Oryzias latipes: one gene and its partners. The protein of the gene in region 1 purifies or fractionates together with the protein of each later gene. This does not show direct contact. Links are inferred from orthologs where the notes say so. Each region holds a gene or a part of one and is shown on either strand. Other genes may lie near its edges.

The links.
Region 2: the proteins of smurf1 (region 1) and stk38 purify together in Homo sapiens (affinity purification with western blotting; 3 studies listed by BioGRID, with this or other methods). This does not show direct contact. The link is inferred for Oryzias latipes from reciprocal best matches to the Homo sapiens genes SMURF1 and STK38.
Region 3: the proteins of smurf1 (region 1) and smad6 purify together in Homo sapiens (affinity purification with western blotting; 4 studies listed by BioGRID). This does not show direct contact. The link is inferred for Oryzias latipes from reciprocal best matches to the Homo sapiens genes SMURF1 and SMAD6.

The regions. Positions count from the first base shown.
Region 1 is NC_019866.2:19,075,794-19,080,229, forward strand, and holds the start of smurf1 (E3 ubiquitin-protein ligase SMURF1), read left to right. Parts: upstream 1-1,514; 5' UTR 1,515-1,749; coding exon 1,750-1,804; intron 1,805-4,436. UniProt on the Homo sapiens protein: E3 ubiquitin-protein ligase that acts as a negative regulator of BMP signaling pathway. Mediates ubiquitination and degradation of SMAD1 and SMAD5, 2 receptor-regulated SMADs specific for the BMP pathway.
Region 2 is NC_019865.2:33,698,537-33,701,202, forward strand, and holds the end of stk38 (serine/threonine-protein kinase 38), read left to right. Parts: intron 1-1,006; coding exon 1,007-1,101; intron 1,102-1,179; coding exon 1,180-1,316; 3' UTR 1,317-2,158; downstream 2,159-2,666. UniProt on the Homo sapiens protein: Serine/threonine-protein kinase that acts as a negative regulator of MAP3K1/2 signaling. Converts MAP3K2 from its phosphorylated form to its non-phosphorylated form and inhibits autophosphorylation of MAP3K2.
Region 3 is NC_019864.2:16,417,268-16,421,666, forward strand, and holds the start of smad6 (mothers against decapentaplegic homolog 6), read right to left. Parts: upstream 2,842-4,399; 5' UTR 2,189-2,841; coding exon 1,399-2,188; intron 1-1,398. UniProt on the Homo sapiens protein: Transforming growth factor-beta superfamily receptors signaling occurs through the Smad family of intracellular mediators. SMAD6 is an inhibitory Smad (i-Smad) that negatively regulates signaling downstream of type I transforming growth factor-beta.

The DNA of each region.
Region 1 (4,436 bases):
TTTGTGTCTGGATGTGTATGTGGCTCGGTTTTGTGGATTTACTGTGGCGTGTAAACAGGCAGTAGACAGGTTCCTTTGTTTCCTCGGCTAATATCAAAAGCGTGTTGCTCACCCTGGTGCTACTAAAGAGCCAAATCCCAGGAACCATAATCCCAGATGCTCTGCTCTCTCAATCTCAAGACACAAGTGCATTGCACATTCCTCACAAACGCAACAAATGCTCAATGCTTCCGATCTGCAAGTTTGCCTGTTGACCTTCTTTTTGTTTGGCTCTTCTCTCAAAACTGTTAAACTCAGATCTAAATGGGCTCTATTCTGAAAAAAGAATGAAAATGGTATATTTTCTTAATCTCCATGTCTTCAATATTAATACAAGTTTTTGTGTAATTTAAGGATTAAAATCATCACTAAATTTGTTTTTTTTCTTAACTGACTAGTGTTAGTCATAACAAAAATTACAACTGTGACTTACCATCCTAGACCCTCAAAGGGATTAAAAAGGTGATTATTTTTAATTAATTCTTAAGTAATACCTGTACATAAACTTTTCCACATTTGGAGTATCTGCTAAATTTCTAACAGTTGTGTTCGTATTTCAATAAAACGTACTTCTTCATAATCAGTTAGGATTTAAAAGGCTTCACGTTGGTGCAAGTGTAAATGTTGGGAAGACAAAAATAGTCAAATATGTTGATCTATACTGTAGCCTTCAAATAAAAAAAAGGGTTTGTGTGAGTGATTTTATAGATGTACACTTTTCTTCAAGCACATCAATTTAAATGCTTCAGTTTAGATAACAGGAATGAAGATTAAAGTTATGGTCCATATGACCCCTAAAGTCTCCTCCCATCCCATGATGAATGTTTTTGGTGATGTTTTTTTTATTTTTCTGTCTCACCTACAAACATGCAGAGAGAAACTCATCACTGGAAAGCTGTTTATAGACATAATATTCATGCTTTCACCCAAAGCTGTACGATCTCCTGCTCTCTAAAAAGAAGGGAATTTAAAAAGTTGTTTTCTAGCTTTTGCTTAAAGTGAACATTTTCAGAGCAACACGGGTAGATCAACTGTTCCTGTGTACATCCATGTTTTTTTATTACAAATATTTTAAATATTAGGATAAATAAATCAACTGAATTAATAGCAGTTAATTGATTATATGTGTTTGTTGAAAACAGTTTACTTGGAAAATGAATTAATGTCTATCTGTGAGGGAAATGTTGATATTAAATTCATTTGTATACTTTTAGGTCACTGTATGAAGGGAAAACCCCTCAAGATCCCTTAGTTCTTGTAGAGTTAAAACTAAATTGCTCTCAAAATATTGAGTAAAGTATTGTTTTTTATCATAGATTGTTTAATTGTTCTTTTCCCCTCTCTCTACTCTCGTGTTTTGTTTAAATAATAATAATAATAATTTATTAATTTTCGGAGAAGATTTGTTTTGAAAATCGTGAGAAATGTTTTGCTGGCGCGCGCACACTTGCTGGAGCGAGCACGTAGCGTCAAGAACATGACGTCAGCCGGCTACGTGCTTGAGCCTGCCTGAAAATGTTCTCCCGTGTTGTTGGATTTAGAAGGAGCGCAGGACTTTGCGGCGGAATTATGTCTTTTTATCCATGAAGAAAACAGCCCTCGTCTTCTTGTAGTGAAGTCTTTGCGGTCCCGCTCTTTCATGAAACTGTGATTTTTCCGGAGGGCTGTCTCCGAGGGGAAGTTTGACTGATCCTTTTTTCTCCCGAAGTGATGTCGAATCCTGGGAGTCGGAGGAACGGGTCCAGCATCAAAATTCGACTGACAGGTAAAAATACAAAGGAAATAATTACATGATGAATTGTTTGCAGTACCAGTTTTGTGGAAAAACTACCACCCCAGTCCACATATCTCTGCTGTGTTATGTGTAAGTAGTCAATCTGTCTCCTTTCGGTGCTTCTTTGCCCAAACATCCGGTTTTCTGTAGCAGGCTCAGCTAACTTGTTAGCAGCCATGCTAACAAAATTACCGTACGAGCAATTCATAAATTGACAGTTTTTGCTCGTTTTACGGCTGAGCGAAGTGAAAACGCCGCAATGACGAGCTGGTGAAACTGCAGCCTTTTACCAAGTCGTTGAAAAACTTAATTAGCTGCTCGGGCTAGTAGGATGCTAGCGCTAGCCTTTACAACACTGCAGTAAATGTTGACCACTCGTAACGCTCGCTAGCTACACCCATATTTGGAGGGTGGACAGACAACCGAGCCCCGTCGCTTCTGCTGAATCCTATGGGCTCTGTTACAAGAATGAGAGCTGACCTGCAGCCTCTCCAGACATTGATTTGTCTGTTAATATGACATGCTACCCTAGATTAACTGCAGCCATCGATCGTCTGGTGTTAGCTAGAGCTACACTCGCTGAACTTCTGCCTCCTCTGAAGTTTGTTCTTGAGGTATCTGAGATCTACTGTCAGGGTTAGAGCCTTCATTTACACTTTTTTTAAATTGATCTTTATAAATATTATTTTAGGCCAAAAAAGCTCCTATCCAGCAGATATTTTTAATATATTTGGTACCTATATAATAAATACAATAAAGACATGAAAAAGATAAGAAAATTAAAGCTCAAGATTGTGTAATCTATGGTTCATTTTAATGTTTTTAACTATGCAAAATTTTTAAGGGGCATTTTTATAATGTATAATGAATCCTTAGTTAAGAATTTATTACTTTTTGTGTGTTAACACACTAACATCACTGACTGGGACCGAATTGATCCTGATTATATTTTGGTTATTAAGGGAAATTATATTTGACAGGCAGCACCAAAGCAATACAATTTTTTCACGTTAAATGTCAAGGCCTTTAGATTTAGACTAAAACCTGACCAGCCTACTGATGGCAAATGTCAATTTATGACTTTATTTATGGATACTTATGTTTAATACAAATTTTAGTTTGAGACTATTGGATATATCTAAATATGTATGTATTATAGTTTGAGAACCACTGTTTTATTCTGTTAAAGACCCACTCCATTCATCTGTTGATCTATTTTCAAAGCATTCCCAGTGGTTTTTTAAATATGATTATGCCCATTTTAGTCAAAATCAAAAAACCTGTCGTTTTCTTTAGAGCTGCAGGGGTTCATTTGACATTTGCCTTTGTGTTGTGCCTAGGACTGTTGGCACAGAGTAAGCTCACCCCCACTTCCCGTCACCCATTTGTTTGCGCGCTCTCCCAGCCCCTTACATCCCCAACCTACCATTACTGGTGCAACAAAAATGGCGAGCAATATTGGAGCTATCCAGCTGTACAGTTTTGAGCCAGATGCCAGCTCAGACGAAGAAAAGAGAGCCATGCATGGATATTGTGGTCTATAAGTGGATTAATCAGAATGGAGCGGAGCAGGGAGACTGTTGCCTATCGACTGTAGCTTCTATGTCACAAGTCCAACCTCTGTCAAACTTTAAATTGTCTCTGACTCATTTTCTTTTCCACTCTATTTTACTCAGAATCAGACAAAACAGACATGTTTGATGGGAATTCTGCAGGGTAACCCTAAACTGGAAATGAACTTTTTTACTAATGTAGCAGAATGCCTGATTCAAAACTAAATAAGCACACACGCAAAACATCGTTGCCTTGTTATTTGAAATTTTATTTTTTATTTGAAGTGGTGCAGAAAAAACATTAGTGGAAATAAAGTGATTGCTGTTCCTGTGGAAGGTTTGCGATTCTCCTGAAGTGACATGGTGGTTTAAGTGGTTAGACACTTGCTGCACGTGTGTATTTCTATATCCTGTGTCTAAAGTCTGCATTCTAAGGGATTAGAGCAGATACATGCTGTCTACTAGAGCAAGTCTCACAAACCTGACCTACTTCTTCCCATAAAGCCTTTATATTTACTCCCCAAGGTGTCACTCATTCAAGCTGAATGTGAAAAAGAAAAGCCAGAATCTTTACAGTTGAGAGGATAGTTACAGTTAAGCTAAAAGTGATACAAAAATCAACAGAACCAAATATTTGTGTTTCACACATAAATTTAAAGTCAGCTTTAGATACAAAGATGGGGATTTTCAGTTAAAAAATGGCACATTGATCTGAGAATTTATGGTTGAATAAACTTCACAGCAATTTTACGATTTTCTTTCATGGAAACAAAACTTCACTTTTTTAGTTTTTGAAGTAAAAATTTCTTGTTTTATCAGCATTTCATTTTGTGGTGCCAATTTAAAACCAACTCTGGTTCACTTTAAGCGAAAAAAATGTGTCCAGTCTGAATACACCCAGAGGTTAAATTGAGTGTCTATTTTGTTGGTCCGTACAGAGTCCGCTTAGTCTGGTCCAGATAAAGTCCTGAACCGTGCATTTGGACTATATCTAGACTGACTTTACCCAGGGACTCATGTTCCGGATCAAAGCTTGGAAACAAAACCATGTGACTAAAGATCTCTTCAGT
Region 2 (2,666 bases), on another chromosome or scaffold:
TCTGAGGGTCTCCTCCTCTGAGGTTGTCTTCCTCTGAGGGTCTCCTCCTCTGAGGGTCTCCTCCTCTGAGGGTCTCCTCCTCTGAGGGTCTCCTCCTCTGAGGGTCTCCTCCTCTGAGGTTGTCTTCCTCTGAGGGTCTCCTCCTCTGAGGGTCTCCTCCTCTGAGGTTGTCTTCCTCTGAGGTTGTCCTCCTCTGAGGGTCTCCTCCTCTGAGGTTGTCCTCCTCTGAGGGTCTCCTCCTCTGAGGTTGTCTTCCTCTGAGGGTCTCCTCCTCTGAGGGTCTCCTCCTCTGAGGTTGTCTTCCTCTGAGGGTCTCCTCCTCTGAGGTTGTCTTCCTCTGAGGTTGTCTTCCTCTGAGGGTCTCCTCCTCTGAGGGTCTCCTCCTCTGAGGTTGTCTTCCTCTGAGGTTGTCCTCCTCTGAGGGTCTCCTCCTCTGAGGTTGTCCTCCTCTGAGGGTCTCCTCCTCTGAGGGTCTCCTCCTCTGAGGTTGTCTTCCTCTGAGGGTCTCCTCCTCTGAGGTTGTCTTCCTCTGAGGTTGTCCTCCTCTGAGGGTCTCCTCCTCTGAGGGTCTCTTCCTCTGAGGGTCTCCTCCTCTGAGGTTGTCTTCCTCTGAGGTTGTCCTCCTCTGAGGTTGTCCTCCTCTGAGGGTCTCCTCCTCTGAGGTTGTCCTCCTCTGAGGGTCTCCTCCTCTGAGGGTCTCCTCCTCTGAGGTTGTCTTCCTCTGAGGTTGTCCTCCTCTGAGGTTGTCCTCCTCTGAGGGTCTCCTCCTCTGAGGGTCTCCTCCTCTGAGGTTGTCTTCCTCTGAGGGTCTCCTCCTCTGAGGTTGTCCTCCTCTGAGGTTGTCCTCCTCTGAGGGTCTCCTCCTCTGAGGTTGTCTTCCTCTGAGGGTCTCCTCCTCTGAGGTTGTCCTCCTCTGAGGGTCTCCTCCTCTGAGGTTGTCTTCCTCTGAGGTTGTCCTCCTCTGAGGGTCTCCTTTCTATCCTCTGAGGTTCCACTCTGCTTTCAGAGAAAGGCCTGCAGCCATTCCCATCAACATCAAAAGCATCGATGACACCTCCAACTTTGACGAGTTCCCAGACTCGGACATCCTCACCCCTACAGGTACCCCTCCCCCCTCCAGGGGAGTGAATGCTGGTGTTGGTGGTAGGACTGTGCTTCAGCTCTGGTTCTGTCTTGCAGCCTCTCCGGTTTCTAATCACAGCGAGGCTGACCTGAAGAACAAGGACTGGGTCTTCATCAACTACACCTACAAGCGCTTCGAGGGCCTGACGGCGCGGGGGGCCATTCCGTCCTACATGAAGTCTGGGAAGAGATAAGCTCCTGCCCCCCCCATCACCACCACTGACCCTGTGTTGGCCCTCTTTCTGTGGGTTTTGCCCCCCAGCACCAGCATCCCGACATTCCCCCTTAAGCAGCAGCTCTGCTGGACCCTTGAGGGGCTGTGCTTCTGCCCTGTGGGCCAAAGCGGGTCAGAAGGACCCACCAAAGAGCCGACCTCTGCCCGCTTCAGGAAAACGACTCTACTTCTAGAACTTTTGCACACTTTGCCCTTTGAAAGTATGAAAGTAGGATTCCGTCTTCATGGCGACCCACTCAGCACCTTGATGGGAGTCGGGCCGGCTCGCTGGACTCTCTTTGGTTTTAGGTTTTAAAGCAGCTTTTATTCCAAAAGATGGCCGTTTTTGCTTTCTATTGTGATGTTCTGTTTCTGAAGCTTTTGAGTGGCAGTTGCTTCTTAAACCTCTTCACACAAACGTCTTGAATCTCTGCTTCTACGGCCCAGGGGTTGGGGTCAACAGTGTCCCACTTGTGGACTCCAAGGCTTCTGTTCTGTTACCTTTGTTCCACAGAAACACTTTTTTTTACAGGAAAAGGACTTTAAAGCATGAGACTTACCTGGGAGCAACGAACACACCATCCAGAATGCTGTCTTTATTATCACCAGCTAAAAATGAAGCAGGTTTTCTGCCCGGCAACAGCAAATTTCTGTTTTTCTTTTTCTTCAAAAGGTTTTAACTTTAAACATAATTTTAATTTCTAATTTTAATGTGTGTTTGTGTGTGTTGGGGGGGGGGGGGTGATTTTATTTAAACCGCTGCTGCAGTGCACACCTCTGTAATGTTTCTGCTGTTTGACAATGAAGAACTCTGCACTTAAAGCGTGCTCTCCTCACTCACGTGCATGTCCCATGTGTGGGCGTGGAGTGGCTGCCCCTCCTGGCCGTCCCAGTGCGGGGGGGGCATTTATTCTGTTGACTTGTTTGGAATCTCAAACTAACTTCTTCTCTGAGTCTAAAACACTCAGAGCATCACGGATGAACTTTGACAAAGTGATTAACCCCTGTGCTATCCTAGGCACTTTAACATTGGGAGTTGGGTCATCTAGACCCACTTCCACTTTGTCCTAAAACATGCAGAGCAGTAAATTATTTTCACTGCAGATTCCAACCAATCACAGCTCAGTATGACAACTTGAAGGATTGTAGGGATTTATAAGGATTATATTCTGACAGATTAGTGCTGAACAACAATAGCAGGAACATCCATTATTTTTCTTGGAAATGACCTGGCATGTTTGTGACAGCAGGGGGCGCTGGTGCATCACTTCAGGTCTGCAGCAGCTGCAGGTGGAGTTCATGAAGTTCATCTTTCCTGTGCGATCCCTTT
Region 3 (4,399 bases), on another chromosome or scaffold:
GGAAGGAGAAGTTTCTGTCCACTTCAGTACTTTAAGTACTTTGCCTGTTTTTTTGTTTTGTTTTTTAAGTCTCTGAGAGAGAAAAAACTTTAAAGGACAACTTTATTTTCATATACTCAAACAATAGAAAATAATGCTAAAATAAAGCACAAGATTAAACCTGAGGAATGAGTTTCTTTTGACTCAAAGCCTTTTCATTACCTGTGTAATAATTAGATATAAGTCTCTATGTTTTACATTCTGGTTTTGCAAAATCTAAACCAGTAATTAAAGTCTTTATTCATAGCCCCCCTTCTTTTTGAATAGCGTGAAAGAAATACCAGCTCTACTGAGCCACGCATGAGCGCATGTGAGCTATGTCTACTATGAGCCTCAGTCCCAGTGCAGGGAATGTGCCTCTCTCCTCACAATTCATCTTGGGGGTTTTAGTGGAAAGGAAACCTGCGCTTCACATGCAGATGTACCAAATGTTCAACAATTTACATGAAAAATGTTTTACTTATTTAAAAAATAACTTATGATAAAACTTTACTGTATTTGAGTCTGATCATTTCTGACGCCTGCTCCACTTTTGAGATCCAGTAACTCATCAATTTCCCAACTATATGAATTTTGATAGTGCTGAACTTGTGACTTTAAAATGTTTGCAACAGCCCGCTGGCTCTGGACAACGTGGATGTTATGGAAAATACGCCTTCAATGCCAGTGAGAAGACAGAAATACTGACGCTTGCATCTTTACACATGACACCAAGCCTTGTCAATGGGTCAGCGGGGTTGAGTGGCCCAGCGTTTAAACTAAATCGCAGGCCCCATCCGCAGCCAAGTTTTAATACGTTTAATACGGGTCAGGGAGTCTGTGTGTCTTGAGGAGCTCACTCCAACTCAATGGAGAGGAACTAACATCTGAATCTGGACAATCTTATCATATGGGGGTAAAAACTCAAAAAAAACAACTAAAAACATCTGAACTGACAATAGATATATAGATGATCTAAAGCTATAAGGTGACAAGGGTTATAAGGAGTGCTGGAAACGGACAAACACTTGGTTCTGATGCTGTAGGCCAAAGTCATGCTTTATTCTGTCATGGGAAGATTTTTAGGCCCTTAAAAAGTTTTCTGAGCCTCTTTTCAAATGTTTAAAAGCATACTATCAACCAGGCTGTCCTTGGTTAGTTTGGAGTTACTGTGCTTCATGTTGAAGGAAGGAAGATGATGATGCTTCTTCTAAAGTATGAGAGCAGATGAAACTCTAATCTGAGTGACAATACAGGTTTACAGCATAATTTAGGCCACATGCTTCTCATATCATGTAGACTAATAGAAAATTAAGTTGCAGGATCAACATTGGGGGGGTCAGTTTGATCATAAAGGATGTGTTGCAGGGGGGGTCTTACCTGGCCCACAGAGCCGGCTGTAGTGATAGGGATTGCAGCAAACAGTGGGGCAGTCCAGGGCCCCAAAGCTCTTGCACTCACAGAGTGGCTTGAGCTGAGCCGAGTGCTGGAGGTCAGCCCAGCGGTACACTTTACACACCAGCAGCGGTGGAGACGCCGCATGTCCACCAAACTTCAGCTCCGTCCCGGAAACCATGACACATTCGCTCGGCATCCCTCCTCTGGACTCCACTGCCTCCAGTAAAGTATCCAGCGCCTTCTCCTTTAGCCTTTTCAAAAGAGAATATGTGGCGGACTTCAGTTCTTGCTCCAACAGCACGCGGGGCATCGCCTCGTGCGCGTCAGGAGAGCCGCCGTCTCCTCCTCCAAGGTTCCTCAGCATGAAGTGGCACGACCCTGGATCCCTGTTACCCTGAGCCGTTTCCGGACCCCTAACCTCGAAGTGGTCCCGGTCTTTAAATAAGCAGCACGTCACCGTCCTGCACTCGCTGTCCTGAACAGAGCGGGGGCTCCCCTGTTCCTGGACGCACACTGCGCCCTCATCTTGGTCCGACGTGACGCCCGAGCCGCTGCTCTCCACGGGGCACACGCACCCCAAGTCTCTTCCAAAGGACCCACTCGGGGTCATCGGTCTGAACTCCGTTTTGGGAATTTTCTCCGGGTTGTTGCCGAACAGATCGTCCCGACAGCCCTCACTAGTTGTGCCATTTCCATCTCCCCCCTCTTTATCTGGGATCAAACGGCTTCTCCACAGTCGCCGCACAAGACCTGAGCGTTTCGTCCTGAACATACGACACCTCGAACTACTAGAAGGGGGGTTATTCGTGTACGGATAGACTACACACACTTTTACTGTCGTTGCAAATCATCAATGACACCGAACCGCCGTGCAGTGCATGCACAGCCAACCGATGAGCACTGACGGTGCATTAGAATAAAGGCGAGTTTGTTGCATCTACAACAACCGACCCGCGACGCAAACGTACTGCAGCATTCCAACTGACAGGCATGCGTTCAGCTGGGGCTACGGAGCGGCTGCAGACGCTGGCTTCTTGTCCAGGCGGAGTGGACCCTTCAGTGTGTTTGTTAAAAACACGCAACAACACAACACAACACGTCCAGTAACATAATCCCAACGAGCAGCCTTAAGATCAAGTCCATGACAGTTCCCCGAATTGTTGGATCTACTTTCTACACCGGCGCGCAGAGCGTGAGGCAGCCCACTTCAATCCAATTAAATCCAATGAAAATACAGCAGAAGTAAAAGATCCTTTCCGCTTTCTAAAGATGTTCTTTTTTTTCTTTTCTTTTTTTAAATCCCAGCCAAAGCCTCCATGAAAGCGGAAACTACACGAATCCGTGGCTGAAGCGCGCGCCTGCGTCTCTGCTCAGACCTGGACCAAACTGCAACCTAGATCCCTTTCTTTCTTTCTCCGTTTCTCGCTCTTTTTCTTTTCTCCCCACTCTACCTCTCTCTCTCTCTCTCTCTCTCTCTCTCTCTCTCTCTCTCTCTCTCTCTCTCTCTCTCTCTCTCTCACACACACACACACACTCACACAGACTGGCGCACACACACGGGGCCCCCGAGGAGAGCGGTGGAGCCATTGGCTGACTACCATCATGTGCTAGTCTAGACACTTTGGCGGCTGTGAGCTGCACTGATTGTTGCGCAAACAAGGTTTCAAGTTTCTTAACTCTTAAAGGCGAAACAGTCACCTCTCGGTTTTTGAAGCAAAAACTTTCTGAAACTTATTTGCATGCATGCAGGATCTGTGCTGTAAGGGGGCTCTCAGTCAGTCACTCCCATGCACATCTCAGTATTTTTACTGTTTATCCATCAGTTCTCAGCCGCACGGCTTTCAATGCAATTCTGTTTATTTCATTATCTAAATATATTTCTGGAGGATATGATTCTTTGTCAGATATAATGTGCTCCAGGGGGAGTTTCAATACTTAAGATGAAAAAGCTTAATTCATAAAATATTGAACGCAGCCTGACATTAAACACATTTATGACTTCTAATGATTTGCTGCACAAGTTGTTGGTGCCAAGTCCATCAGTTAACCTTTCCCAGTGGGATGCGTTGAAAAGCTTTTCTATTTTTATTTTGAATTAATAAATTATATATTATAATAACAAATGTTATAAATAAAATTAAAAACACATTGAAACATGTATGAAAATACAAGCCATTTTTAAGTATCAATTTTGAAATAATTCCATTTTGATACTTAACTTATGATGATTAATGCAATGTTAGGAGTTTAGAAGTTGCAAACCAGATATGGTAAATACATAAAAACAAAAAAACAAGTAAAATAGTAAAGGAAATCATAATAGGGGTCCATTGGAGTATATAGGTTTGTTTCCTCCCACCCCTTTTCATGCAATTAGTTTAACTGTTTCGACAAACTTTAAATGTAATGAATTCAATGTGTCATGTATTGTATGTTTAAACAGAACTGTGTCTAAGATTAGAATTAATTATAATGGCATTTAATTATCCTTCATTTAAATTTCCAATTGAATGATGATCAATCATCTTAAGTTTGATATACCTATGCCTAAATGAATACACCTTTTTTTTCTTCTTTAGTATTATTATTTGTTTGATTAATTGAATTGAAACAATTCCAGTACAATCCATCCTTATTTTGAAATAGTCTGGTATTTTTAGTTTTTGTGTGTATCTTAAAGGGCCTACACTATATTCTTAAGCCTTTTATAGTAAATAATATCCATGTATATGATTTCATATTAATTTTGGCACACAAAAGTATGCTTTTTTTAGTGAAATATGAGAATCAGAATCTTTTTATTATCATTGTACATGATGATACAATGAAATTGCAGCAGCTTTGGAGTGATATAGATAAATAAAATAAAATAGAAATACTGTACTCACATCAACAACAAAAAATGTACAATATGTACAGAAAGTACAGAGTTGTAAATAACTGTACAGAGTTATTTTTCTGAGCTTTGGTCTTACTCAGAAGT